7 linked regions of the Canis lupus familiaris genome follow. The protein of the gene in region 3 interacts with the protein of the main gene of each other region in a biochemical or structural test. Links are inferred from orthologs where the notes say so. Each region holds a gene or a part of one and is shown on either strand. Other genes may lie near its edges.

Region 1 (3,708 bases), on a different chromosome or scaffold from region 3:
TGAAGCCGGTCCCCCTTTTCAGGAAGGGTGAGGGCAGCCTGGTGGACAGAGGGAGGGGTGAGAGAGGGAGGGGAGCATCTTACCTGCCGTTGCCATACTTGATGCGGATGTCCCGGCTGCGGTTGAGCTCCTTGCCATCCTTGAACCAGCGGTAGGAGGGCTGAGGATTGCCCGCTGCTGCCTCGCACTTCAGTGACTGCTTCTCACCCACCTGTCCGGTCTGGCTCTTCATCTTCTTCAGCTTGGGCCGGGTGGCTGTGGGGTACAAGGCAGGGAGGTGAGCACAGGGGCAGGGGTGCAGTGCCAAGCACAAGCAGCAGAAAGAAGGCCACTGTCTTCAGGAGGTGGAAGGGTGGCCTGGGGAGCCTACCCTCCTGGTGTCATTTCCCAGTTCAGTTCAATTACTGTTCACAGAGGGTCCGCGGTGGTGTCAATGTAGCTACTACCTATGAAGCTTCCCTCACACTTGCAATGATACTTGGGGCTTTCGATACATTAGCTTAGGAAAAGAAACCCACGAGTTCACTGCAATGATGAAACCCCTTTACAGATGGGGACAACTGAGGCTAAGAATGCAGAAGTCACTTTCTCCAGGTGAACTGGGAATTCAAACCCAGATCCCCTTGACTCAGATGCTCATGATCTAACTCCTGTCCCAGATGCCCAGGCCTAGGCTGGGCCCAGAGGACACAGGAGGACCAAGATGACAGACACAGCTCCTGCCCTTAGGGAGGTCGGTCTGGCAGAAGGGCCGTAACCTGGCATTAGCATCACAGCATGGCCCCTGGAGGCTTGGAGGTGCTGAAACCAGAGGAAGGACCTCAATCCAGATTGGGGGAAGAGCTAACTTAGTCAAGAGCTAAGGGATGCTAAGACCCTAGGAGTGGCAGGAAGGGAGTGAGCCAGGCAGAGTCAGCATTGTGGCTTAGGAGAATCACATGGTCTGGAGAGGTAGGCTGATGTGAATGGGTCAGGTGGAGCAGCCATCTGGAGGACAAGGCCTGGGGCTATACTGGGGGACACAGGCCCCACTAGGGCTCCAGGCAAATGCTAGGCTCAGCAGCTTCTCCCATTTTTCTTTTCTTCTCTTCTTTCTCTTCTCCTCTTCTCTTCTCTTCTCTTCTCTTCTCTTCTCTTCTCTTCTCTTCTCTTCTCTTCTCTTCTCTTCTCTTCTCTCTCTTCTCTCCTCTTCTCCTCTCTCTTCTCTTTTTAAAGATTTTTATTTATTTGTTCATGAAAGACAGAGAGAGAGAGAGAGAGGCAGAGACATGCAGAGGGAGAAGCAGGCTCTTGAGGGGAACCTGATGTGGAACTCGATCCCAGGACCCTGGGATCACGACCTGAGCCAAAGGCAGACACTCAACCATTGAGCCACCCAGGTGGCCCTTCTCCTATTTTTCTTACACAGAATTCTATTTCCACATGCCCAGGTCTCCCATGCTTCATTTCTTTGCTGCCCTCCCCTTGACAACAACAACAAAAAAAAAAAAAAAAAAGGAAAAAGTACTCTGTTCTCAGGAAGGTAAGGGCAAGCCCATGTTTCCTGCTGAGGTATGTAATAATTTCCACTGGGCAGCCCTTTATAGGTTACACAATGCTTTCATGCATGCTCTCGTTTGCTCCCTGAGCTCTGTGAGGCAAGTGTCATTGCCGACATAGATGGGGAAGATGAGACTCAGAGAGGTTAAGAAACTTGACCAAGGTCACATAGCCAGGCAGCCAGGCAGCTACAGAGCAGATCCAAAGCACAGGTATTTGTGTTTGCAACACAATGGGCCTGTAGCAGGCTGGTGTCTGCTTTTACAGCCTGTGTCTCTTTTGGGGGAATGGAGAAAATAACTGAAATTCTTCCATCAGCAGAAGGGAGGGTCTGTTAGGGCCAGGGAATTGTCTCGGGAATGAACGGTCCCGTCTCGGCTGACTCTGGAGGAAGGCAGCCAAGAGGGCCTGGCTATCGCCAGGGCTCCCTCACAGAACCTACCCCTGCATGGCTGCTTAGAAGCAGGCAGTAGATGGGAGAAGGTGCCTGGGGGGAGAGAGCAGAAAGAGAAAGAGCTCCTGAAGCTTCAAAAATGATATTACATAGACTAAAAAAACGACAGTGCTTATGAAATGCTTTGTTCGTTCTAGAAAATTAAAAAATACAGATGTATAAAAGAAAATAAAAATACTCAATTTTACCCAGAAGTAAGATACACACCCATACACGTGCATTGTAAATAAATGGGATCAGCATCAGTAACACATTTCTTTCATTAAATGAAAGAAATGTAAGCCTTTGAGTTTGGCCTTGATTATTAGCAACAGCATTTCCCACACTAATGTCTATGGGACGTGAATATCCAGAGAGATGATAATAAATAGACATTACTTGAGAAAAGGGTTCCATGAACAAACCAATTTGGGGAGCAGGTAGGTCAAGAGAGTTAACGAAGTATCATCACTGACTTTGGTATGATTTCCCAAAAAGGGTCTCACAACTTTTTTTCTCAGAACTCTTATAGAATTGCAAGGAAATAAAGTTAAATGGAATAGCTCTATAACCTAACTGGCGTTGGTCTATCTATCATCTATCTATCTATCTATCTATCTATCTATCTATCTATCTATCATCTATCATTTTATCTATCTATGTATCTATCATCTATCCACACATATTTTAATAATATCTTCACATAATTCAAAATCCAAGAAGTGTAAAAGGCTTTCTGACTTAAAACACAAGTCTCTGGGCAGCCGGGGTGGCTCAGCGGTTTAGCGCCGCCTTCAGCCAGGCTGTGATCCTGGAGACCCGGGATCGAGTCCCACGTCGGGCTCCCTGCATGGAGCCTGCTTCTCCCTCTGCCTGTGTCTCTGCCTGCCTCTCTCTCTGTCTCTCATAAATAAATAAAATCTTAAAAAAAAAAAAAAAACAAAGTCTCCCTCTAACTTCTGACCACAGTCACACAGTTGCCTTTGCAGAAGGCAATCAATTTTATCAGTTGCTTTTATATCATTTCAGAGACATTTTATGCCTAGACAAAAAACTCTAGTATTCACACACATATTTTTAAACATTTTCATGGTTGCATAATATTCCTTTATTGGTGTGCCATAATTGATGTAACCAGTTCCTCTCCTGGAGTATTCAGCATGTTTTCTCCCCACTGCCACCTCATTACAAACAGGCCCAGCTTCATCCAGTACATATATTCAGTGTGCCCAGCTAGGACACACAGTGTTCATCCTTCGCACACATCTAGCATGTACTGCTGGACAGGCAGTGCGGCTCTTGACTCAGACTGCCTAGATTCAAAACCAGGCTTTGCTACTTAGCTTTTTGTCCTCAGGCCGCTGACCTAATCCTTTTGTGCCTCAGTTTCCTCATCTGTGAAATACGGGTAATCATCACAGCTCTGACCTCATGGGATGGCAGCTGTAAGGATTGTCTGAAACAATGCACATAAAGCTTGGCTTGCACAGAGCATTTAACAAAGGTTAGCTATTACTGCTTATTACTATCTACAATAATTTCCTAGGGCAATCTTCCTAAAAGTGGAATTGCTGCATCAAAAGGGTATGAGATCTTCCTCAGCTTTAAGCATTGCCAAATTGCCTTCTGGAAAGGTTGCACCAATTTGCACTCCCACTGGTGAATGACAGTGCCTGTTTTTTCCACACCCTCCCTAACATGAGGTATTATCACATAGTTAATCTTCGCCAATTAGC
Region 2 (3,708 bases), on a different chromosome or scaffold from region 3:
ATTATCTGCATTTCACAGATGAGGAAACTGAAGGTCAAAGAGGTATGGGATTTGCCTTGGGAAGTCCTAGAGAAGCTGGGCTCCACGTGTGGATTGGACTAACCCCAAAGCCCTTAGCTAATCTATTCTCAAATACAAACAGGCAGTCTTATAAATACTCTCAAGAGCAGACATTGTTTCTGTTCATATTAATAGTGTGGGTTTGAGTCCAAAACCCCTATGAATGGCTCCAGCGTCATTGCTCTTTGTCCTTCTGTCCACAGTGCTGGGATTGGCCGGACAGGGACGTTCATTGTGATTGATATCCTTATTGACATCATCAGAGAGAAAGGTGGGTCATCTGGAGGGCAAGAAGTTGTAAGTTCTTTTTTAGTTTATGGAAGGAAAGTGCTAGTGAAAATAGCCTGGAGGAGAGAATTTGAATGTTAAAACATTTTTAAAAATCTGGGCTGAAGACTTTGACTTTCAGTTGTTTATAGGAGAACAAAAGTGATTCTATTTGAGCCTTTGACATAAAATGAAGCCCAGGAGCCGTGGTCCCGCTGCTGTGGTCTTTTGTTGAATATGCAGTGGTGGTCTCTGGGGTGGTGCTGATGGAGAGTCCTGACCTCCGATACTTAATCAGATCATTTTCTGGAATCATTTGTATTAGTCAGAAGGCAGTGTAGCCCTTGAAACATGTTCAGTTAGAACATTAAAGACTACATTTAAAAAAAAATTAAAAAAAAAAAAAAAAAAGACTACATTTACTATATCTCTGAGTCTGCTAAAAGTTGTGCATTAAACCACTTCATCCTGGCCCCACAGTTTCTCCTAATGCTTCATGGTGCTTGCTTTGCAGGTGTTGACTGCGACATTGATGTTCCCAAAACCATTCAGATGGTGCGGTCTCAGAGGTCAGGGATGGTCCAGACAGAAGCACAGTACCGATTCATTTATATGGCTGTCCAGCATTACATTGAAACACTACAGCGCAGGATTGAGGAAGAGCAGGTACCAATCCTGGAGGGGGCTGGTGTGCATATTTGTACTTTCTTTTCTGGGCAGCTCTGATACACTCTGCTTTTGAGCAGGATGGGCCTCTAAGAGATAGCTGTTACTGTTCAGGAATGAGAAACTCATTCCCAACCAGGAAGGGCCTCTCTGGAAACTATTCCCCACTTCACAACTCTGGTATTTCAGCAGAGGGTAGCTTGGAGATAGCTGCTATCATCCTGGCCTGGCAGATTGGGGAACTGCCACGTGGAAAGGTTAGGATTTTCCCAGACAACATCCCAGGATTCTCACATGGCAAGTTTGGAAATGAAAGCCTTGAAGTTTCCAGCCTGTTCCTGTTTAGATCCAGGCCATCTTTATCCTGATCCCATCTCTTAAACAAATGCTTCACTCTTCATAGCACATAGCAGTTTGAACCATAAACTTGGTTGAGTTGGAAACAGTGAAATTTCAATTTTAATAAGCCATGCATAATGAAGAAGAATGTGGAGTTGGAGCATTTCCATTTGAAGCTATTCATAACAGACACAAAGCTGAGTTAATTAAGAATACGCTGAGATGAGGGAAATGAGGAGACTGCTCCTTTGGGGATCTGGGCATCTCCCCCCCACCCCCCCACCCCCAACTGCTCTGCTGCAGACAGGGGAATGTCTAAACAGCAGTGATATCTGCCTACTTTACCCTGTGTATTGCCTTCCAGAGAACCCGGCTTCTCAGAATGGCACCTGCCAGCGAATTGAGAGACTTCTAGCCTAGCAGAATAGCAGCCACATTATCAAAAGCTTCATTAGCCAAAGTAAGATATCTGTCAGCTTAGTAGGTTCTCAGTTCACATAAAAAGACTAGATTATGGGGTGCCTGGGTGGCTCAGTCGGTTAAGTGTCTGACTCTCGATTTCAGCCCAGGTCATGATCTCAGGGTTGTGAGATTGAGCCTGGCACTGGGCTCCGTGTTCAGTGCAGAGTCTCCCTCTGCTCCTCTCTCTGCTCGTTTGCATTCTCTCTCTCAAATAAATAAGATCTTAAAATCCAAAACACTAGGGGCAGCCTGTGTAGCTCAGCGGTTTAGTGCCGCCTTCAGCCTGGGGCATGATCCTGGAGACCCAGGATCGAGTTCTGCGTCGGACTCCCTGCATGGAGCCTGCTTCTCCCTCTGCCTGTCCTCTCTCTCTCTATGTCTCTCATGAATGAATAAATACAATCTTTAATAAAAAATTCAAAACACTAGATTGTTTTCGTTGTACAAAAACATCTTCAGCAACGGTGTACGTATAGAAATATAAGGTCAAATAATCAACATGGTACCAGTTTTGACCTTCAGTGCTTTAAATCTGATTTGGTGTTATCGTAATTGTTACAAAATATTTAGATGGTTGCTATAGGCTATTTTCTATTTGTCTTCCAATTATACTGAATTTGGGCCAGGAATAAAACATGAAGTTGCCCATATAGAAAGACCTCCTAATAAATACAAAGAGAATGTAGCACACTATTGGTACAAATTCAGGAATATCTTGAAGCATATAATCTTGTTTGGAAAAGCTAGGGGAAAAGCTCTCTTTATTTCATTCAGAAGTTTTGGTATTTATCCTTGTTTTGGCAACTTTAGTAGGGACTTCCCCAGCCTTACAGCACTTGAGATCTTCTGAATTACCGTATATAGTCTCTCTGACCCTAAATCTCAAGATGTAATTTGGATTTAAGAACTCCTTTAAAGATAGCTTTATCGGGCAGCCCTGGTGGCGCAGCGGTTTAGCGCCGCCTGCAGCCCAGGGTGTGATCCTGGAGACCGTGGATCGAGTCCCACGTCGGGCTCTCTGCATGGAGCCTGCTTCTCCCTCTGCCTGTCTCTCTCTCTCTCTCTCTCTCTCTCTCTGTGTCTCTATGAATAAATCAGTAAAATCTTTTTTTTTTTTTAAAGATTTACTTATTTATTCATTCAGAGAGAGCTACCCTAAATCAGTAAAATCTTAAAAAAAAAAGCTTTATCACCCCAGGGTCAGGAGGGGGTAGAAAAAAGCAGAACATATTCCTTGATAATTTAAGTCTTATAGAATATCGAAACTGGATGTCACTGATAATCCTATTTGAAGAGTGCTTCAAATGAATGCATGCATTCATTCGTTCAGCCAGTACTTTTTGGTGCCAATATGTGCCAATATTGTCCTTATTAGCACATTAACTGCTCTTTGGGATCTGAGCCTTCAGAGTTTAAAAAGATGGGTTGGGGGATCCCTGGGTGGTGCAGCGGTTTGGCACCTGCCTTTGGCCCAGGGCGCTATCCTGGAGACCCGGGATCGAGTCCCCCATCGGGCTCCCGGTGCATGGAGCCTGCTTCTCCCTCTGCCTGTGTCTCTGCCTCTCTCTCTCTCTCTCTCTCTCTGTGACTATCATAAATTAAAAAAAAAAAAAAAAAAAAAGATGGGTTGGCTTATTCATTTTTAAAAATGAGATCCTATAACGTGTAGTTCCATTTAATTCCATGTATGAACTTACTACCTGATTTTGTGGTAGAATTAAGAAGTACCTTCTTCTGGTAGAAAGCTTAAGTGGTAGCCTTAAGAACTAGTGAAGCCACCTGAGTTTTAAACTAAGCCAAAGAATGAAACTCATTTAGGATCATTGGTTATTCTTTTAAATACCATCATTTCTACAATTCTGAAGAGTTAAAGACCTTTGGGAATGAAGGAATTTTTGAAAGAGGGTAAATGAA
Region 3 (4,157 bases):
CAAGTCCAAGGAAAAGGTGAAAAAAGACTTACGAGGTCTGAAAAGCAAAGGCTGTAGCTATATAAATGCCGTCAGTTCGGCAGGGTGGGAATTGTGGGAGGGATGGCATAGTTGGAAAAACGGGTGATTGTGTTCCCAGGACCACCTAACCGGCAGAGCCTCCCAGCTCCCGAACCACCTTTTTAACTACTTTCTGAGTGTGCAGCAGCATTAGAGGTTGGAGAAGGGTGAAGGCTTTATGCCCGAAGCAACGTTTTCTTTTCTTCTATTTCCAGCTCCAGTCTGTGGATGAGCACTGTGTGTGGGGCAGTAGAGAAAACGGGGACTTTCTGGTTTAAGGAAAAGAAAAAAAAAAAAAATCTGTGAGCAACCCTGCGGTGGTCTCCGCGCTCGCAAGCCGCTGTCTAGGGCCTCGGCGTCGGTCGGCTGGGTCGGGCGAGCCCTTTAAATCCAGCTCCCCCGCCCCCCGCAGCACGCGCCCGCTCCCAGACAGGTGTTTTCCCAACTCCTGAGACTGAGGATTTTGGGGAGAGTACGAGCCAATAAGATTCCCCTCTGGGGGGTGGGGGGCGGGGAAAAAGGCGGGGCCAGTTGGGTCAGAGCGGGGGCGGGGCTCGCGGCTGAGCCGAGCCAGCCCGGTTGCGTGGAGGCTTGTTTTATCCGCCCCCCCTCCACCTTTTTTTTTTTTTTTTTCCCCCCTCCCGGAGTCTTATTAATTTCTCGGTGGGGCTGCAGCTGGAGACCGCGGAGCGTTGGAAATGACGCTCGGAGCTTTAATTACCGCAGCCGCCGGACAAGTGTGAGGAAAGCTGACGGGAAAAAGAAGGACAGGATCGGGGGAGAAGCGAGAAGCGCCCTCCCCTCGCCCCCCCCCCCCCCCCCGCCCTCGTCCTCCCATCCCCTCCCAGTTGGGACTGGAGGTGCAAGGAAACTGAAAAGGGAGCCCAACATAGCCCGGCTGCGGGGAGAGGCCGGAAACCTACCGCCTCTTTGCAATCAACTTTTTTTGGAAAGCCTTTTCCCCCCTTCCTTTTTATTGTTGACCAACCAGTGCGAGAAAGTGAGGAGGGAGCGAGGACGCGGAGGCTCGCACGGGGGAAGCGCTGCCCAGTCCGGCCCCGAGCGGCACGCGCACACCCTCGGGCGCACGGCCCCGCGCACACCGGCGCGCACGCCCCTCCTCGGGCCCCGGCCCCGGCCCCGGCCCCGGCTCCCCGCGCCCCCGCACCCCGGCCCCGGCCCCGCCGACTCGGACTCGGACTCGGACTCGGACTCGGACTCGCACGCGCACTCGCCCTCGGCGGCTCCAGCTGGGAGCCGGTGCACCGCGCCCCGGGCGCGCCGGACTCGGGGCCCTCCTCCGCGTGCCCGACAGGGGAGATGCCATTTGGACATGTAATTGTCAGCTCGGGATCTGAGACTTGCAGAAAATGAAGCTGGCGGCAGGACCGTGGGTCTGGGTGAGCCTTCTGCTGGCAGCGGGGACCGTCCAGCCCAACGCCTCCCAGTCAGGTGGGTGTCCGGGGCTCCGCGCCCCCCGCGCCCCCCGCGCCCCTCCGGCCTCCTCCTCCTCGGGCTTGGCTTCCCTTCCTCCCTCCGTCTGTCCGTCCCCAAACTTAGCCTTTTTCGTGTACCTGCGTTTCACTTACCGTGAAATGTCACTCTGCGACCCTGTCCCCCCTCCCTTTTCCCCCCTTCCTTTCTCCCCGACCCCCTTCTTTCTTTCTTTCTTTCTTTCTCCCGCGTTTTCGGGGGAGCCTAAAAGCGGGATCTCTGCGGGTCCTGCCGGTTGTGCGGGCCGCGGGACACGCGGCTCCCGAGGCTCCCGAGTTGGACGGTCCCGCCGTGCGGGCGCCCCGAGAGCGAACGCCTGGCACCGGCGCGCGGGGCTCCGCAGGGGCTGTCCCCGAGCCGGCGGGCGGCGCACCTGTGCGGCCGCGGGTCCCTCCCCGCTGGGGCGGCCGCCAGCCTGCGCGCCGCCGACTCGACGGAGCTCGCTGGCCCGCGGGCTCTCTCTAAAGAAAAGGGGGGGGGCAGGGAAGGGGTTTGACACCCTGAGCGGGAGCCCGGCCCTGCCGTCGTCGCCCGGCTTGGCTCCGGGAAGAGTTCTTCCTGTAGTTCAACTTCTATTGGCCCGAGTCCCTCCAACTTCGCTGTTTACTGCCCGGCGCGGCTGCCGAGCCGACCCGGGGCGCGACCCGGTCCACCCCGAGGCGGGAGCGACGGCGCCGCCACCGCCTCCGCCTCCGCCACCGCCACCGCCACCGCCTGCGAGAAGGCGCGAGCCCGGGCACCTGGACGGGCCCAGGCCGACCGCCCCCGAGGCCCGGGGTGGGCTGGCGTCCGCGGCGGCCAGGGCCACGCACGGCACCTGCAGGGCGAGGCTGCTCAAAGTTTTTGACACTTGAGTTTCCTGGGGATGAAAGCGGGGCGGGAAAGGACGGAGGCCGGTGGGTCTGATGCCGCCAAAGGGGGCCTTTTGCAGAGCGGGGGGGATCTCCGGAGCCACCCCGGGCTGGTGGCGGGAGCGTGGGAGGCAGCTGGGAGGGTGAAGCCCCCCGGGAGCGCCCGGGAGCGGGGCTCGGGCCGCGTCGGGCCCCCGGAGGGCGTCCCCCTGACCTCACCGGGAGCCGCGCGCCGCCTTCCGCGCTCCGCCCCCGCCGCTGCCGCCTTCCCTCCTAGCCTAGTAAATAACAAGTCGCAGGCGCCGAGCCTTTCAGAATGACCTTCGAGTGGCACCAGCGTGCGCCGTTGGTGCTCGCCGTTTGCACCCTCCCGATCCTCGGGAGTCCTTCATGCGCACCGGGTCGCGCGCTCAGCCGCCGCCGGAACCGCACCAGCCCCGACCGCGGATTCCAGGCGGCCTCTTAGATACGTGCCTTTTACCTCCTCCCTCCGCACTCCGAGTCCCTTCGTATTTTCCCTCAATGGGTCGATTATGCACATTGACCCATTCAAAAGCGTGTGCGACCGACACGCAGACTTAGGCGAGAGGGATTTCTCCGAGTCCGAGGCAGCCCACTGGGGGCTGTCGGTGCAGCCTCGGCCGCTGGGGGACCCGGCTCCGAGTGCGCAGCAACTCGGTATTAACTGTGTGGCTCAGGGGTGAGCTATGCCGAAAAGCCCTTTTCAGAATTTCTGCAAAGAATGCAATCCAAATTAGTTCTGCAGCTGTCCCCTTCCTCGTCTCCGGCGACACCGCCTCGCGCCCTCGCTGGTCTCTTCTCGCTTCCCCCCGCGAATGGTCAGACCCACAAGTGAGCCCCTGTAGAGCGCGGGGATTAGCGTGCCATTGTTGTTCTGTGTGTGACTCTGCACTTGAAATTCTAGGGGCACAAAGGCGAGCCTCACTTGTTCAAAACACAGAGTGATCCAGATGAAAGGGCCGCACAAAGAAAAGCTCTCGGTGCATCCCTGGTACAATTGCAACACGCATGCTAAGGTGATCCACTGGGAACTGTAAATGCCCCTGGGGACTTCTTTCTTCACCCTATTCCCCTCCTCACCCCCCCCCCCCCGCCCCCACCACCCCTGCCGCACCTGGCAGGGAAAGTTCAGCTGGTTTTAATACAGTGCTTTCACGAAACCAAGTTACTGTGTGGAGTGTGAGTGAGGCTGTGTGTGTCTGTGTCTGTGTCCGTGGGGCTGTCTGTTCCCAAGTAAATACATACTGCGTGTCTCCCCTCTCGCGGTTAGCAGTCAGTAGCAGTTTGGAGGAGTTTGTTTTGGTCCAAATGAGAAATTAAGTGCGGATAAGTAAACTAAGCTGCCAGAGGGCGACAAGATGTTGAGTGAATTGCTTTTAGATGAAACAAATTAAGGAAACGAGGGAAGACAATCTGCTTCTCGCATTATTAGACACGCTTGGAGTTCAGGGGAAAGTGGCATATTTTTGAAATGCTAATTTCTTAAGCAGAAGGAATGCACCTTATTTACTGCTCTATGTGAACAGAATAAAGATATGGGTGGAGGGAGGATTCTGTTGTATAGATCTAAGATATTTATTAAAATAATTATAATGGGAAAGGACCTGTTTTTATTTTTTCTTCTCTTGCTTGGGAAAAAAATCAGCTTTAGAGAAAACAATTTTTAAATATGTCTCAGGACTTTGTCTCATTTCCAGTAATTCATTTTATCCAGAAATACTATATATATAT
Region 4 (4,214 bases), on a different chromosome or scaffold from region 3:
GTGTGTAAAGGAGAGCCGCATCCGCCTTTCCCCCCTAAACCTACCTTCCTAGTGAATGTTTTGTTGCTTCTTTGAAATGTCTCCTATCCTGTCTGCTTTAACTTTAAGCATATTTTCTGTGTGGAACCTGTAATAACAGATACTTTGTATTAAGTAAATAAGGAAGTGAAAGGAAGAGTAAGAAGATAGTTACCAAGTTCCTTGAGAATTTAAAAAACTGGATCAATATTAAGATGCAAGCGTGTGCAGTGGGACAATGATTTGTGAATATTTGTACATACACATGTGTTTGCATGTATCCAAACACTGCTGCTTGAGTCACTCTCTTGGGACAAAATAAATTAATGATGAGTAAGTTCAGGGTCAAAGAGAAATTTTCTTTTTCTCCTTTGTCATCAAAGGAAGACCAGACCACGGGCACGGTATATAAAGCACACCAGTGGCACCATCAGCTTTACTGTCGAGCACTGTAAGGGTAACAACACGTGGTTAGACGGTAAAGGAGTTCAAAAGGAATTCATGGTAATACGAGGAATGGGGCCGTAAGTGTCTCTCCAATGAGGCTGCAGAGTGCAGACAACGGAGGCGAGGACAATTTAACATCATGAAAGGGTCTCAAAAAATTGCAATGAAATAACGTACCTTTTTTGTACGACCCTCATGTACATTTTGTATAATCTTAGACTAGGCCTGCTGAGAACGGTGTTGAAAAGGATCCTCCCGGGCGTTTCAGGGATGCTCACCTGGATGGCAAGCAGCAAACGCCTTGCGCTTTCCTGTCCCAACTGTGCCTGCTGTGCACCTGGGGCGCTCCGCGCGCGCCTGATGGACTTGACAGGTGGAGGTGGGACCGGGAAGGCTTTCGACCGTGCACCTCCGAAAGGCGGCAGCACGGAGAGCCGGACGTGGGAGGGGTCGGCGGAGACGAATCCAGACCCCGCAGGCCCGGGGGGCGCGAAGGGCGGGAGGACCCGAAAGACCCGAAGGCGTGGAGGAGGCCGCGCGGACGAGGTGGGCGCGAGGGGGACCCCCCGGCGAGGAGGCGGGGCCGGGGGCGGGGCCGGGGGCGGGGCCTCCGGGAATTCCTCCCTCGGAGAAGCGGAGGTGACTGGCCGGGAGGGGGGGCGGGGCGGGGCGGGAGACGCTCTGTCCCACGCTCTCCCAGCGCTCGGTGGTTTAAAGATGGCGGCGGCGGCGGCGGCGGCGTTGGGGGCGCGGAGCCGCGGGAGGAGGAGGCGGGGGGAGAGTCTGTGAGTCGCCCAGAGGCAGCGCGGCGGCTGCTGCGAGGAGTCCGCGTGCGGAGCCGCCGGCGGCCCGAGCGCTCGGGGCCGGGGCCTGGACTGGGAAGGAGAGGCCGGAGCAGCGCCGGGAGCCCGAGGCCGGAGCCGAGGAGGAATGTGACCTGGGGTCGGCGGGGGGCGCGGGAGTACGCGAGCGCAGGGATGGGGCAGCAGGTGGGCCGCGTCGGGGAGGCTCCGGGGCTTCAGCAGCCGCAGCCCCGCGGCATCCGGGTCGGCAGTGTGGCCAGGCCCTCCGGCCGCAGGCGGGACCTGGCGGGGCGCACCGCGGAGGCCGGCTTCAATATCTTCACCCAGCACGGTGAGTGTGTGTGGGAGCGGCGTGAGGGCGCGGGGAGGCCGGGGGTGGGGTTGGGGCGGGGTGGGGAGGAGACAGGCGGCCCTGGGGGGTCGGGGGGTGGCGGGGTGCCTGAGAGTGGGGGCGGAATCCGCTGCCATCTGGGCCAGTCACGGGAGTCGAGTCACACCCCTCCCCCCGCCCGCCTCCAGCCTGGCTGGCAGCTCCCGGGGGCGGAGAAGGAAAGAGCAGTGGGCTCAGGGACGGTGGAGGGACTGTCCTCTCCCCTGGGACAGACTGTGTGGCTCGGGGAGGCCGGAGGATAGTATCGCCAGGGGAGGCAAGGATGCTGGGAGGTGTGAGCTCAGTCCAGTAGGTGTTCGTGTAACCCGGTCGTCTGCGAAGGGAATGGGGTTGTGCCTCCAGGGATTTGGAAATAGGAACCGCATCTCAGGAGCTACTGGCGTATAAAGTATACACACATATAAAGTCAGACTATGAGCAGTGTCAGAAGAGAGAGCAGTGACCAGAAATACTCTAATATGGCAAAGATAAAGGTAGTATCTCAGCGCTTTTGAGATTCCACCCCCCTTCCCCCCCCCCCCCCCCCCCCCCCCAAACTGGAAATGAAAGGCTTTGCCAGGCTGTCCTATGTTCTGAGCTCTTGGGTAGGACTCAATTCTGAGAAGCTGGCAGGGGTTAGAGGTTGGTGGGCATGGTTAGGACTTTGGATATGAACAAGAGTTTTCTTCCTGCAGTCTGTGCATGTGTACATAAATCCTCTGCAGTCTGGAACCTATTACTTTGGTCTTATTATCGAGGTATTTTTAGAATGATTGTCTCCGAACTCTTTTGATCATACCCTTTTATCAGTAAAAGAGCACGTACTCCAAGAATTCGTTATCTGTTAATTATATATGTACTTGTTCTGCTGTACCAGTACGTTATGTAACTTATGAATGCACACAAATAGAATTTAAGAAAGGGTAAGATGAAAAAAATAAGTAATGAGAGTTCTAATTTATTTTTTTTTCCCTGCAGCCCAGTGGATCCTTTTGCACTATCTGAGCTGCACCCACACCACTTTTGAGACCACTTTTCTAGAGGAAGGAAGAGTGGAGAAGGGGGAAAAAGAAAATTGACCTTCATGGGGTTGGAATACCATGAGACTTCAGGCTGAAGGGGTAGATGTGACTTAATATATAAAAGAGGACTGGGTAGTTGAGGTTGGATGAGTGGTAGCAAACTGGAGTTTTCACTAAGTAATAAAGGATAAAAGAGACATGGTTCTATAATACACAATGTACAGAAGAAGAGGAAGAAAAAGAAGTGTGAATTATTTGTTAGAAATGGAGTTTTGGAGGAAGTGATGATAGATGGTAGTGTGCAAAGAAAGAGATGAACCCAAGGAACTGTGGCTTTTGGCTGAGTTGTATCCGAGAGCTCTGGGTTTGGACTTTGTGAATATGCTGAGTTGTTTCTAAATGGAGAAGATAAGTGATTTGGGGCCTTTCAGGTGTTACATGTGTACTATTAAAGATGTGAGTGAGCTTCTCTTCCAGATATATGAACATTTTATGAAGGTGCTATATGTGAGTTAGTCTTTATTAAAATCACTTTTTAAAGCACTGGAGGAAAGAATGGATAATAAGTTTTCAAGGAAGATCATCCAAGTTAGCCTAGTTTTGTGGGAAGTGCTAGTGTACATCAAACTTGGCCCAGTAGGCGACAGTGATTCTCTTCCTCCAGGATCTTACTGAAGACAGACTTTTCAGAGAAGGAGGAATATCATGAAGAATGGAATAAGAAGAGATTTTGAAGGGTGGATAGGTTTCGAATCTCTTGAAAAAGGAAAAGAAGGCAGGCTGGGCAGGAGAAACAACTTGAGCATGAACAATGGGAATTAACATGATTTGCTGATGGGATAGTGAGGAGACATCTGTTGGGAGTGAAGCAAGTCCTCCAGGAGTGAATCCTAGAGGAAAAATTGCAAGAATCAAGTTCTGGTCCTAGCTCTACTTGGCTGCGAGATTTAGTTACTTGCCATCTTTGGGTTTATCTGCAAAATACTGGACTGGTTGATCCCAAAGGTACTTTCTGACTCTTAAGATTTTATTATTCTAATTGAAGCAGTGCCAAGAAAGCTTTAGATATGTTTAACTGGGCATGGGTGATGGAAAATGTGGCAGAGGATTTTATATCAGTTTACCTGATTGGCTAATTCATAGAATATATTAACAAACCCAAGTATGAAATGCTGAAAGACTGGCTTTAAATGGAGGCAAAGGAAATAGGACAGGAAAGTTCGAGAGATATTTCATTCATCCAATAAACAGAAGTTTTTTGAGTACCTATTATGTAACTGAGCTTTGGGAATATTGCTTTAAACATAAGAGACCCTGTCCTTGTAGAACTTAAAGGACTTCGTGATTCAGTATAGAAGATGAAAGAATAGAGATTGTTTTGGAATATTAAGGGCCATTGTGTGTGGGTTTGAAAACTGGCTTAACTGTTTATTTTTGTGACCCTAGGCAAGTTATTTAACCTTTTTATGCCTTGTATTCTCCATTGGTAAAATGGGGATAAGAGCACCTAATAATAATAGTACCTAGATTAAATTTTTTTTAAGATTTATTTTT
Region 5 (3,708 bases), on a different chromosome or scaffold from region 3:
AGGCCTCAGCCTTGTTGGTGTCTGGGTGGGATGACAGGAAGCAAGTCCTTCAGGCCATGCCCCCAAAGGCTGGGGAGGCTGGTAGCTCACCCCACTCTCCCTTTCCCCATGGGAGGAACTCCTTCTAGCTGGCTGTTCTCACATGATACTGAGCGATGCCAGCCTGGAGATGGTGTCGTGCAGGTAAAATGACACTCTTCTCCTTTCTCTTTGTGCAGCTATTCTGAGGTCTGTTGTTGCCCCGTGTTGCTGAAGCTTCTGAAGTGGATTCCCACACTCTCCTAGAGCTGTCTCCTTCAAGAATGGCTGTCTAATTGTTGATCTTTCGGTGGGATGGAGGCCAAGGTCTCCTACCTCACTATCTTGATCCAGATCTTTTGGCTTGTTATTTTTTAGTGTCTTCAATATTCTCTTTCTCTTCTTCATTAGTTTTCAGAGATTTACTGGTTTAGTTTTCAACAGTGTGCTGCTGAATATCTATGGCAGTTTGAAATACTGGCCCTCATGTTAACCTTTGTCCTTACCAGGGGTGGGCCTGTCCTTTCCCCTCCCTTGCATCTTGGCTGGGCTGTGGATGCTCTGACCTGTGTAGCATGAGGTGGGTGTGACTCTGAACCAATTCATGGGTCCAGCCTTAGGAGCCTGGTGGCCTCACTTCCTGCCTCTTGAGTAACTGACTCTCAGGACCACCCACGGTCGCTGCCATGCTGGGAGGAAGCCAAGGCAGCATGGACAGGCCATGTGCTGGTGAGCTAGTAATGGATGGGTCCACCCCAGCGGAGGTCCCAGGCCTCAGCCCAGGTGAGATCAGGCTCTAGCTGTGTGAGTGAGCAGAGCGGGTATGAATCTTTCCACCCTCCTGGGACGGCCCCTGAGACACTGTGTGCAGCAGAGATGCGCCCTCCCACCAAGCCACACCCAAACTGCAGAACTATGGATAAATTAACACTTGGTATTGTGTTCAGGCACTAAGTTTGGGGATGATTTGTTATCTCCACTTCTCTATGTCCTCTGTGAGTCTTTGTTTCAGTGCCTAGATTTTCTTCTCTCTTTAATTATCATGATGAAAGTTTCCAAAGTGCCCCCTGATGGAAAACCTACTTCTCTCTGGCATGTGCTTGTGGCTGTCACTCTGCTGGTTCCTTTGTTCCAGTTCCCAGCCGTCTCTGCAAATGGCTCACTCGGTGCTTTTTCTAACCCTGGCTCATCACTGAAGGGGCTGTGCTCTGGGACCAGCTTCTTTATGGACAATGGAGTACTTCCAGACAGCTCTGCTCCTGTCTGACCTTCATGCTGACCCCAAGCTGAGGTCTGCTGTCCTCATCTGCCGTATGCATGGTGGCCCTCTCAGAGAGAAGCCAGTAGTTGGGGAGTGGGGGTACCAGGAACTCCACAATGTGGAGCTCAGGTCAATCCCACCCCCCATCCTGCCATTCACAAGTGAGACTTCAAGGTGTGCCATCAATTCCTGAGGATGTTGGACATTCCCAGGGACCTAGAGAGCTGGAAATCTGTCCTTGGCTCCCTCTTCCACTTTCTAGGTTCCATTCCCATTACATTTTCCAGTTGATCCACATAGACTCACATACACTGTAACTGAGTTCATATGGGGCTTTCTTAAGTTTTTGCCTTCCTTTAGTTACTATCAGTTCATTTATGGGGTCAGGGAGGAGCTCTGAGATATCCTACAAGAATCAACTTGTTCAACCCATTTTTCCAAAGTAATTTAAGGAAGGAATTCTATTCTTGTTTTTTTTTTTAATGAATTATCAATTAATACCTTGATTTTTTTTGTTCCCAGAAATATAGTTTGAAAGCTAATATTCTGAGTGAACTCAGTTCATGATATTTTAGAGTATTACCATTTTTAAAAACAATATAATCAAAGCTTAACAAGAATATTTTTTACATATTTTTCATAGATAAATTGCTTCTTGAGACCCTTTCCATAATCAAATAAAGAACACAAACACTTGCATTTCAGATTCTCACCACCTGCTGCTTGGCATACTGGCTAAGTTATTCCTACCTTGTAGTAGTTTTCATCAGCACGGAGTGCTTTGGAAAGTCCGAAATCACTAATCTTGGCATAATGTTGAGTAACCAGCAATACATTTCTTGCAGCCAGATCTCTGTGCACAAAATTGCTCTCCTCCAGATATTTCATTCCCATAGAAACCTGATGAACCAGCTCTATAATGTTCTTATCCTTGACGTGCCTGAAAGTTACAGATGTGTCATTAGTGGTGGTGAACAGTACTCCATTTGGGACCAACCAATCATGCTCCTTGTGTAGGCAGAGGGATCCACTCATTTCCTATTCTTCTTAAGAGTAACAAGTGGTGACAAACAACCTTGTTGACTTACAGCTGCTCAAAACCAAGCACCATTAACCTGGTATTCAACTGGTACGATTTTCGAGGTGTGCTTTGAGTTACATGAAAAGTAGTGTAATGGAACGGACAGACCTGACTCACAGACAGCTAGGATTTGGCTGGAATCCTCGTTTCAATATCGGACTGATAACAAAACCAGCTCTGAGTCTCAGTTTCTTATGTGTGAAGTGGGACTAATGGCACCTCTCTTCTGTGCAGATTAGACACACAATCTAAGTAGAGTACACACGTGATGTATCAAATTGGACAAAGTAACCAGTGGTTATTATTGTGACTTATTCCATGTGAGTTCCTTCATCTCAACAGTGGCCATAGATGAGCACAGCGTGAATATCCTACCAATGGTTGTAATCCATTAATAGCATCAGATTATTTTTGGAATTACTCATGGGAATGTAGAGGTAGAGGTCAGCCAGATGAGTAAGACGTCACTAGTTACCCCTTTCAAAATGTTTATTTTAATATTTCTCTCACTAAGGTGGGCATGATCTGCCTAGTGAGGGGAGACTGATTACCGAGATATTCTAAGGCTGATTCTATCACCAGGCAATACAGAGTGAGCAAGGGAGAATGAAGACTAAATTGTGGGATTAGAGTCTTCCTTAGCACAATAAGGGTTAAAAGAGTATCTGATCCAAAGACTACGACTCTCTTCCATCCACCCTTAAGGTCACTGAGTTTGGGCCAACACAAGGAAGGCAAGGGGGGAGAGAGAGCCTCCCACAGAAATTAAAGCTATTACGTACACTGGGCAGGAGGGCTCTGCCCTATCACAGTATCAGCTTCTGGGGGACTTAAAGATACCTGTTCTGCTGTAAATATTTATTGAGTGGACCCAGTTCTGCCATTTCCATGACCAGCATCCAGGACTCGGCTTCACAGATCCCAATCATGCGCACGATGTAAGGGTTGTCAAGCTGCTGCATAACGTTCGCTTCTGCTAACAACTCATCTTTAAGAGCAGGGTCATTAGCCTCATTCTTCAGAATCTTCACAGCCACTGTTTTCACGACTCTGCATAAGAAATCATAACCCTCATAAGAAAATTTTCAAAGCAGCTAAGTTCCAGGTAATTACAAAGCATAAATGCTGTGGTAGAAATGATGTAATGGAGATACCTGCAACTGTGTTCTCTCTTCTTATAGACAAAGAGAGAATCCTGCATTGATTTACAAATAATGAGGGGGTGCTGAAGAATGTCCCAACCAAGCAGAGCCTCAATATTGCAAGATATGTAAATGACTTTCAAATAAACCTCACAAACTGTGACATGCATGGATTCCTGCAGCATCTTCAGATGTACCATCTCAGA
Region 6 (3,708 bases), on a different chromosome or scaffold from region 3:
TTATTTTTTTAAGATTTCATTTATTCATTAGAGAGAGAAAAAGCACATGAGTGTGTGTGTGTGTGTGTGTAGGGGGGGGAGTGCAGAAGGAGAGGGAGAAACAGATACCCCACTGAGCAGGGAACCCCATGTGATATGGGGCTCCATCCCAGGATCCTGAGATCAGGACCTGAGCTGAAGTCAGACGCTCAACTGACTGAGCCACACAGGCACCCCCAGACCCAGGTTTTATTTTTTTTATTTTTTTTTATTTTTTTATTTTTTTTATTTATTATTTATGATAGTCACAGAGAGAGAGAGGCAGAGACACAGGCAGAGGGAGAAGCAGGCTCCATGCACTGGGAGCCCGACGTGGGATTCGATCCTGGATCTCCAGGATCGTGCCCTGGGCCAAAGGCAGGCGCCAAACCACTGCGCCACCCAGGGATCCCTTTTTTTTTTTTTTAAATTTTTATTTATTTATGATAATCACAGAGAGAGAGAGAGAGAGAGAGAGAGAGAGAGAGAGAGGCAGAGTCACAGGCAGAGGGAGAAGCAGGCTCCATGCACCGGGAGCCTGACGTGGGATTCGATCCCGGGTCCCCAGGATCGCGCCCTGGGCCAAAGGCAGGCGCCAAACCGCTGCGCCACCCAGGGATCCCTAGACCCAGGTTTTAAATGGGCTTTCTTCCTTAAAGTGTCCCTTGCCAGAAGCAACCTGCCTCCTGTCCTCTCTGCCTCATAACTCTCTCTGGAGTCTGCCCCTCACCCTCACCCTCACCCCACTGCCCAGCTGGCCTCCCTCCCTGTGGGCTGCCCCCTCCTCCCACATGTCTGCACAGAAGTCAGAGGGGTCCCTCTTAGAGCATGCACTGCATCAAGATGCTCCCTGGCTCCCTGGGAATTTTTCGGTGGCTCCCAGTTGTCTTCCGGATAAAGTCACACTCTAAGACCTGGCACTCAAGGCATGGTGGCTTCCCTACAACGTTCCGCCCTGCCTCAGGTTCTCACGCCTTGGCACAAGCTTGCTTTCTGCTAGGAAAGGACTTCCTCTCTCTGTACTATCTCTGCTGGACAGACTCCTCATTTTTGAAGACCCTGCTCAAATGCTCCCTCCTCTGTGAAGCCACCTCTGATTTCCTCCATAATCTAGAGGGAGGGTTACCCTCTCCCTCTGTACCCTGTGCCCCTGAGTGGCTCTGTTTTCCCTGCTCTGCTGTCTCTCTGTGAATACATAGAGACATAGAGGCCCAGATTGCTTTGTAGTTATGTTTGGGACTCCAGCATGGTCTGTACAACTTCAGATACGTTGTGTGCCCCAGCCGGTGTTTACTGAATGAATTGTAAGGCCAAGTGGCTCAGTCAGGCCTCACCACCTGCTGGTGGCCAGCAGGACCAGATCCCCCCTCTGACTCTTGGCCAGCATCTCCATTCATCCAGCAAATGTTAACTGGGCCAGCACCAGGGACTCAGGATCTCAAAAGGGGCCTGGAACATGCCCCCATACATTCTGTGCCTCATTTCTCACTGCCACCCTCCCTTTGCAGAACAAGTGTGTCCCGTATTGGCCAGAGGTGGGCACTCAGCGTGCGTATGGACCCTACGTAGTTACCAACTGCAGGGAACATGACGCTGCAGAGTACAAACTCCGTACTTTACAGGTCTCCCCACTGGAAAATGTGAGTATTCTCCACTCCTGCCTCACTCCTGGGGCCCTTCCTTGGATCTGTTGTTTTGTCTGGTTGGGTGGGATGGGGAGATGTGTGGGAACAGAGGGCACTGGCCCTATGCGCTCTGCCCAGGAGGACCTGGTTCGGGAGATCTGGCACTACCAGTACCTGAGCTGGCCTGACCATGGGGTTCCCAGTGAGCCTGGAGGTGTCCTCAGCTTCCTGGACCAGATCAACCAACGGCAGGAAAGTCTGCCTCATGCAGGCCCCATCATTGTGCATTGCAGGTGAGAACAATAATGATGTGAGTAGTAGTAATAAAAATAAAAGAGAGGTCCTGAGATCAGGACCTGAGCTGAAGTCAGATGCTCAACTGACTGAGCCACCCAGGCACCCCCAGACCCAGATTTTATTTTATTTATTTATTATTTATTTATATTTTATGATAGTCAGAGAGAGAGAGAGAGAGAGAGAGAGAGAGAGAGGCAGAGACATAGGCAGAGGGAGAAGCAGGCTCCATGCACCGGGAGCCCGACGTGGGATTCGATCCCGAGTCTCCAGGATCGCGCCCTGGGCCAAAGGCAGGCGCCAAACCGCTGCGCCACCCAGGGATCCCCAGACCCAGGTTTTAAATGGGCTTTCTTCCTTAAAGTGTCTCTTGCCACCGAGGCAAGATAAAAAACAAAAAACAAAAAACAAAACAAAACAACTTTTATTTTTTTTCAATAAAAATAAAAGTAGTAGCTGGCTAGTAAATACTGCTAACTCAGTGCCCTGGAAGCACTAATTTACATGTTAACGCATTAAATGCCTCCGCCTGCTCATGGCCTCATCCGGGCTCCTTGATGGTTCCAGATCCAAGGCGGAAGCGTAGCTTGAGCTAACCCCACTGATTGATCCTGTGCCTGAGGGGTGGCTTCTTTAGAGACTTCCCTGTACGTACCATCTCACCCAACCCTGCCAAATACCCATGAGGAAATAGGCCCAGCGACTTGCCAGCTGGCCAGCGGGAAAGTGCACTGACGCTCACCACACACCTAGGCTCTGGTCGCTCCTGTTGTCTCTCACGGGCTTCCTCAGCCTGTATTTCTTCTTGGGCCCTGCCACCTTCTATCTGGGGTCGGTGTGGCTCTCCATTTTTTCTTTTTTCTATCCATAGCCCCAGGGATGCTTAGCCTTCCTCTTTCTCCCCCTTCCCAGCTAGTGACCCCAGCTTGGCCTCCAGGTTGTGTGGGGATGGGTGATGTCTTCCAAAGGGGCACATGTATCTCTAGGTCACTGGAGGACCTCGTGTTCATGATCAGGAGACCCTGTTCCTGCTAGGCAGCAAGGGGGGTGCGGTCAGCAAGGAGGAGTGAGGGGCAGAGTCCTCACTGACCTGGCCTGGGTCCGTGGGGGGCCGTGGGTGCAGGTTCCTGGACAGACACCGTAGATTAAAATTCTGGCTCTTCTACTCACTGGCTGTGTGTGTGATCTCAGACAAATTACTTCACTTCTCTGACCCTTAGATTCCTCATTTGTCACTGCAGGCTCTCCTGTGGTTGATGTGAGGATTCAATAAGCCCCCGTCCCTGTGTCTGGAACGTAGTAATCCCTCAAGAAATGGGAGCCGTTGCTGGTTTAATAACTCCCATTAGGCTGGGAATGGGGAAATGGGAGCCTGCTTCATCTGCTTCCCTTCCTACTCCCTTCAAGTGACCCCAGGCTGGGGCCTCACATGTCTTCCTTCTTCCCACCAGCAACTTTTGCCCTGGGGCAGGGCTGGGTGGGCTGAATCTGGGGGTGCCCCTCACATGTCATCTCAGGGACTCTGCCTCTGGGGGCCGGCCCATTGCTAAGTACGACCCTCCTGTTACTCCCCTTCCACTTCTTGAAATCCCCATGGCCTTTATTTAGATGTTACAGGAAGGAAGTGGGTAAGGGGGGGTTATTTTTGACAATCTGGGTTTGAAATTAGTGCAACTCAGGCCACTAGCCTGGCGGCCCCGCGAAGCAGACAGAACTGGGGTCTCTGAGGGATCCTGAGTTTCCTGGGATCTGTTTGCTCTAGGATGCTGGT
Region 7 (4,433 bases), on a different chromosome or scaffold from region 3:
GTTTGTGGCACCCGCTCCTCTACACACGTCATTAGTGCCCAAGACCTGAGATGGCACAGGTAATTGTGTGTGTGTGGGGGGGGGGGGGCGGGGAGGGACATGACAGAGAGGAGAGATGGTGCTGTGAGTGAGGAAAACAAAACGTGTACGGTCTTAGAAATCAGAATTTGCCACTATTTCTACCAAAATTCTTAGCCCCCCCCACCCCGTAAGGCTCCCCTTATCTATTTCCTTTACTTCTCTTGAGTTTCAGAACGTAGTTTGAATTTTTTTTTTTTAAATACGTAGTGGGGGATCCCCGGGTGGCTCAGCGGTTTAGCGCCTGCCTTCGGCCCAGGGCGTGACCCCGGGGTCCTGGGATCGAGTCCTGCATCGGGCTCCCTGCGTGGAGCCTGCTGCTCCCTCTGCCTGTGTGTCTCTGTCTCTCATGAGTGAACAAATAAAACCTTAAAAATAAAATAAAATAAAACACGGAATAGTCATATAGTGATTTCTAGTATGCGACGAAAATCAAACAAATCGATAGCCCTGCCACTCCCCCTCGGCCCCGGGCCCCGGCAGCGCCGCTTCCTAAAGGCGTTATTTTCCACCAGCAGGAAGCAGGGCCCCGGCTCCGCGGCATCTTCCTTGCCGTCTTCCTCGGCGCTGCCCCCTCCCCTGCAGCGTCCCCGCCGCGTTCGCGGAGCCGGGCCCCCCAGCCCTCGGCCCGCCCCTCCGCGGCGCACGCTGACCCGGGGCGGGGCGGGGCGGGGACGGGGCGGGCGCCCCCCCGCGGCCGGTCCCCCGCACCGCGCGCCCCCGCCGCTTCCTTCCCTCGGGCCCAGCAGCGCGGCCGCCCCCGCGCCAGGGCCGCGCCTGCGCACAAGCCGCCCCGGCCCTGCTCCCCGCCCTTCCTCCCGCGGCCGGCTCCTCCTCCGGCGCCCCGCCTTCCTTTCTCTCTCTCTCTCTCTCTCTCCCTCTCTCTCTAGTCGGTTTCCGCGAGCGCTCCAGGTCGGCAGCCGCTCGGCCCGCTTCCCCGCCCCCCGCCCCTTCCTCTCCTCTCCTCTCCTCTCCTCTCCTCTCCTCTCCCCACCCCTCCCGCCTCCAGCCCCGCGGAGGATGCAGCGGCCGCCGCGGCCCGGGCCCCAGCAGCGGCACCGGCGGTGGCTGCGGTGGGGGTGGCCGGAACTGGGGTGGTGAAGCGGCGGCGGCGGCCGAGCGGGCGGCAGCCGCGCCAGCCGCTTCCTCTGTGCTTCCCTTCCTCTCTGGCGCGGCCAGGAAGTTTCTCACTAGTGTGCATGTGTGTGAGTGTGGGTGTGCAGGCTGAAGGTGCGGGTTGGCGTTGGTGCCGGCGGTAGGTTTTTTGCCCACTCGGCTTCCCGTAACCCGGGCCGCTCCGGAGCCTGGGCTGTGGCCCGAGGAGGGGGCGCGGCGGCGGGCTCGGTCCTTTTGTTGTCGTTTCCTCCGCCCGGGGAGCCGCCAGGGGGACGCGCCCGGGTGGGGCGGCTGGGAGCCCGGGCCTGCTGGCCCCCGGGGCTCCCGGGCGAGCGTAGAGCGGAGAGCGGAGCGGGCTTCAACATGATGGCGGCCGAGGGCGGCAGCGAGGAGGGCGGCCCGGGGGCGGCGGGGGCGGCGGGGGGCGGCGCGGCCGCGGGCTCGAGCGCCTGCCCGGCGGCGTGCAGGGTGAGGATGCCCGGCGCGCTGCCCGTGCCAGCCGTCGCCTGCTCCGGGCTGCCGGAGGCCGGCGGGGCCGCGCTGGGCGCCGGGCCGGGGGCGGGAGCCGTGGGGGGAGCCGGACTGTCAGGGGGAGGGGCCGGGGCCGGGGCCGCCGGGGCCGGGGGAGAGCCGGCCCTCGCCAAGGGCACCGCTTCGCTGGCTGCGGACACCTTCGGGGCGGGCGGCGCCTTCCCCCCGCTGCCGCCGCCGCCTCAGCTGCCCGCCCTGGGCGCCGCCGGCCTGGGAACCGTGGACGAAGGGGACTCCCTGGATGGACCCGAATACGAGGAGGAAGAGGTGGCCATCCCCCTGACCGCGCCTCCGACTAACCAGTAAGTGCACGCAGCCGTCCCGGGCCCGGGGACGCCGGCTCCTGGGCACAAGTGCGAACCCCTGGGACCTGCAGCTTTTCTTGCAGTTGCGATCCGTTGGTGAAAAAGTTTGGAGCCTTCGGGGTTGGCGTGCGTCGGGACTTGATTGGATCGCTCCTCTTCCCTGAGGGCGTGCACGCTGCCTTCGGCGTCTTTTGCATCTTTCTGGTTAGACCCTGGGAAGAAGTGAAGTTTTTGAGCTAGGAAAGCATGGAGAGTGGGGGGGGAGGGGGGGGAGGGGGGGCATGTGTATCCATCGGGAACCGGATACGGTGCTGCCTTTTCCAAGCCGAGGTTGCGTCCCCGGGGCTCAGCTGAGCTTGCAGCTGCCCGGGCCGTAGAGTCTCTCTCAGCCTGTGCGTGCATTCCCTGTTGAAGTCAGGTTATCCTTAGTCATAAGGCTTTGGGTATGCAAGTATTCCAAGGAGTATGGTATTGATGACCATTTTAAACATGCACCGGTCAGAAGGCTTTGCCTTTGTGGTGCTGTGCATCCCCAGCCTTTCGGAGGCAGAGCGATGCAGAAAAGTCTTCGGGTCTCTCCTGAAGATGTGGGTCGGCGAGAAAGGAAAGGAGTTCTGCGAATTACAGGTGTGGTGAAGGGTCTCTCTCCTCTTACGGGGTCTGTGACGTAGGCCGTGAAATTCCCATTTATTGATAACAGCCTGATCTTTTTATAGTTGAGGCTTTGTAAGCACAGTTCTCAAGTAAAATTGTCAATACTTCAATACTTTGTTGGTGGCCAGTGCAGTGTTCCATTTGGCAATCAGTTGCGACGGTATATTGCAGGGCATTTAGGGCAAATGGCTTTTTTCACACGGTGAGTACCTTCCCCTTGTTCCCTCCATAAGTGAACATAGGTGTGTGTTTGTAAAGGTGGACCTTGATGAGAGGAGAGTGTTACTGGGAAGGGGTAATAGATGGCAAAACCGTTCTTACGGATCCTTCACATCAGTTATTATCTGACCTTTAGAATTTCGACAGCCTTGGTGTATCAGAGGAAAAAATATTTGGTTCATATGATGACATTCACTCTGGACAATTGAAAGTATTTGTTTGTTTTGGATAAGCTTTGGAGGATTTAGAAAGGACTTAGAAAATGATTAGAAAAAGATTCTGTGATAATCCATTCTTAACCTAGGGCTACATCTTTTGATATTTAAGGGGGAAAGGTAAAAGTAGCCTGATTTGTGTCAGCCGTGGTATACTGCTCAGTAAGAGTTTAATTTTTTTGTCTAACTTTATTCCAACTTACCATGTTATGTGTTTGTTTTATAGACCTCTGAAGGTGTTCTGGGAGTGTGAAAAATTTGAATTTTACAGCACTGTTTACACACCTTCAAGCCTTTTTGAAAGAATCAGTAAATATTTAAGCGCTCACTACATCACTCCATGCTCAGCACTAGGGTTATAATAAAGTGCAACTTTTCATACTGAAAGAAGGCAGTCTTTTGCCAGTGTTTGTAACTGAGTTATATTAGGCATATTTGTATATTGTAGTTATAAATTTTTTTAAAAAAGTGATTTTGTGGAATGGTTTTAGGTTCACAGCAAAACTGGGCAGAAAATATAGTGTTCCCATTAGATTTTTCAGGATAAACATGAAGGAGTATTTGGAAAAATTTTTAGAAGTCTATTGTGTGAGGTTTCCATCATCATTAATATATATTTGGGAATAAAAATAATACTTGCATGACTGTATATATGAGAATCGTAAATGTTCTGAAAAGTATCCTCCATTTCAAGTATGTTTTTTAAATTTGTCACTGAGGAGTACAAATTACCCTCTTTTCTTTATCTTAGATATCAAACCAGAGTCACTGGAGGCAATACAGTGTAGTGTTTAAGGGTGCAAATTCTGAAGTTAGACAAGATTTGGGTTGGAATCCTGACTCTACCACTTATAACTGTGTGATCTTGGAAAGGTCAGTTTCCCCATCTGTAGAATGGGGATAATAATGGTACCTCCGTCATAGCATCGTTTTTAAGATTTAATGAGAACCCTGAAGTATTCAGTCAGCACAGTGCTTGGCACATAGTAAGTGTTCAGTAAATAGTATGCCAAAGTAACAGTAATATTTTATTGCCATTAAATTGCCTACTGATTCTATTGGTACAGGGAACTCCCTCACTGATAGTTACTTTAGGCAATGGTTCGTACTCCAGAGGTCTAGCTACCATGGTTAGCTATATTAAGAATTATGACTTCATAAAGGTTTCCATCAGGTTAAGTAGGTTTAGAGATGAAGTTCAGATCTTTTCTATGAATTCCTTTTTTTAATTTTTTTTTATTTTTATTTATTTATGATAGTCACAGAGAGAGAGAGAGAGAGAGAGAGAGGCAGAGACACAGGCAGAGGGAGGCAG

The links.
Region 1: the proteins of ERBB4 (region 3) and NRG2 form a complex in vitro, tested with the Homo sapiens proteins (2 studies listed by BioGRID). The link is inferred for Canis lupus familiaris from reciprocal best matches to the Homo sapiens genes ERBB4 and NRG2.
Region 2: the proteins of ERBB4 (region 3) and PTPN11 form a complex in vitro, tested with the Homo sapiens proteins (2 studies listed by BioGRID, with this or other methods). The link is inferred for Canis lupus familiaris from reciprocal best matches to the Homo sapiens genes ERBB4 and PTPN11.
Region 4: the proteins of ERBB4 (region 3) and ABL2 form a complex in vitro, tested with the Homo sapiens proteins (2 studies listed by BioGRID and IntAct, with this or other methods). The link is inferred for Canis lupus familiaris from reciprocal best matches to the Homo sapiens genes ERBB4 and ABL2.
Region 5: the proteins of ERBB4 (region 3) and SYK form a complex in vitro, tested with the Homo sapiens proteins (2 studies listed by BioGRID and IntAct, with this or other methods). The link is inferred for Canis lupus familiaris from reciprocal best matches to the Homo sapiens genes ERBB4 and SYK.
Region 6: the proteins of ERBB4 (region 3) and PTPN6 form a complex in vitro, tested with the Homo sapiens proteins (2 studies listed by BioGRID, with this or other methods). The link is inferred for Canis lupus familiaris from reciprocal best matches to the Homo sapiens genes ERBB4 and PTPN6.
Region 7: the proteins of ERBB4 (region 3) and RASA1 form a complex in vitro, tested with the Homo sapiens proteins (2 studies listed by BioGRID and IntAct, with this or other methods). The link is inferred for Canis lupus familiaris from reciprocal best matches to the Homo sapiens genes ERBB4 and RASA1.

The regions. Positions count from the first base shown.
Region 1 is NC_049223.1:34,247,991-34,251,698, forward strand, and holds part of NRG2 (pro-neuregulin-2, membrane-bound isoform), read right to left. Parts: intron 256-3,708; coding exon 84-255; intron 1-83. UniProt on the Homo sapiens protein: Direct ligand for ERBB3 and ERBB4 tyrosine kinase receptors. Concomitantly recruits ERBB1 and ERBB2 coreceptors, resulting in ligand-stimulated tyrosine phosphorylation and activation of the ERBB receptors.
Region 2 is NC_049247.1:10,377,038-10,380,745, forward strand, and holds part of PTPN11 (tyrosine-protein phosphatase non-receptor type 11), read left to right. Parts: intron 1-263; coding exon 264-331; intron 332-841; coding exon 842-993; intron 994-3,708. UniProt on the Homo sapiens protein: Acts downstream of various receptor and cytoplasmic protein tyrosine kinases to participate in the signal transduction from the cell surface to the nucleus. Positively regulates MAPK signal transduction pathway. Dephosphorylates GAB1, ARHGAP35 and EGFR.
Region 3 is NC_049258.1:19,996,376-20,000,532, reverse strand, and holds the start of ERBB4 (receptor tyrosine-protein kinase erbB-4), read left to right. Parts: upstream 1-1,270; 5' UTR 1,271-1,430; coding exon 1,431-1,512; intron 1,513-4,157. UniProt on the Homo sapiens protein: Tyrosine-protein kinase that plays an essential role as cell surface receptor for neuregulins and EGF family members and regulates development of the heart, the central nervous system and the mammary gland, gene transcription, cell proliferation, differentiation, migration and apoptosis.
Region 4 is NC_049228.1:20,505,195-20,509,408, forward strand, and holds the start of ABL2 (tyrosine-protein kinase ABL2), read left to right. Parts: upstream 1-1,222; 5' UTR 1,223-1,442; coding exon 1,443-1,599; intron 1,600-4,214. UniProt on the Homo sapiens protein: Non-receptor tyrosine-protein kinase that plays an ABL1-overlapping role in key processes linked to cell growth and survival such as cytoskeleton remodeling in response to extracellular stimuli, cell motility and adhesion and receptor endocytosis.
Region 5 is NC_049222.1:96,632,551-96,636,258, forward strand, and holds part of SYK (tyrosine-protein kinase SYK), read right to left. Parts: intron 3,411-3,708; coding exon 3,201-3,410; intron 2,220-3,200; coding exon 2,030-2,219; intron 1-2,029. UniProt on the Homo sapiens protein: Non-receptor tyrosine kinase which mediates signal transduction downstream of a variety of transmembrane receptors including classical immunoreceptors like the B-cell receptor (BCR).
Region 6 is NC_049248.1:8,004,767-8,008,474, forward strand, and holds part of PTPN6 (tyrosine-protein phosphatase non-receptor type 6), read left to right. Parts: intron 1-1,526; coding exon 1,527-1,658; intron 1,659-1,781; coding exon 1,782-1,936; intron 1,937-3,708. UniProt on the Homo sapiens protein: Tyrosine phosphatase enzyme that plays important roles in controlling immune signaling pathways and fundamental physiological processes such as hematopoiesis.
Region 7 is NC_049224.1:21,307,674-21,312,106, reverse strand, and holds the start of RASA1 (ras GTPase-activating protein 1), read left to right. Parts: upstream 1-1,557; coding exon 1,558-2,027; intron 2,028-4,433. UniProt on the Homo sapiens protein: Inhibitory regulator of the Ras-cyclic AMP pathway. Stimulates the GTPase of normal but not oncogenic Ras p21; this stimulation may be further increased in the presence of NCK1.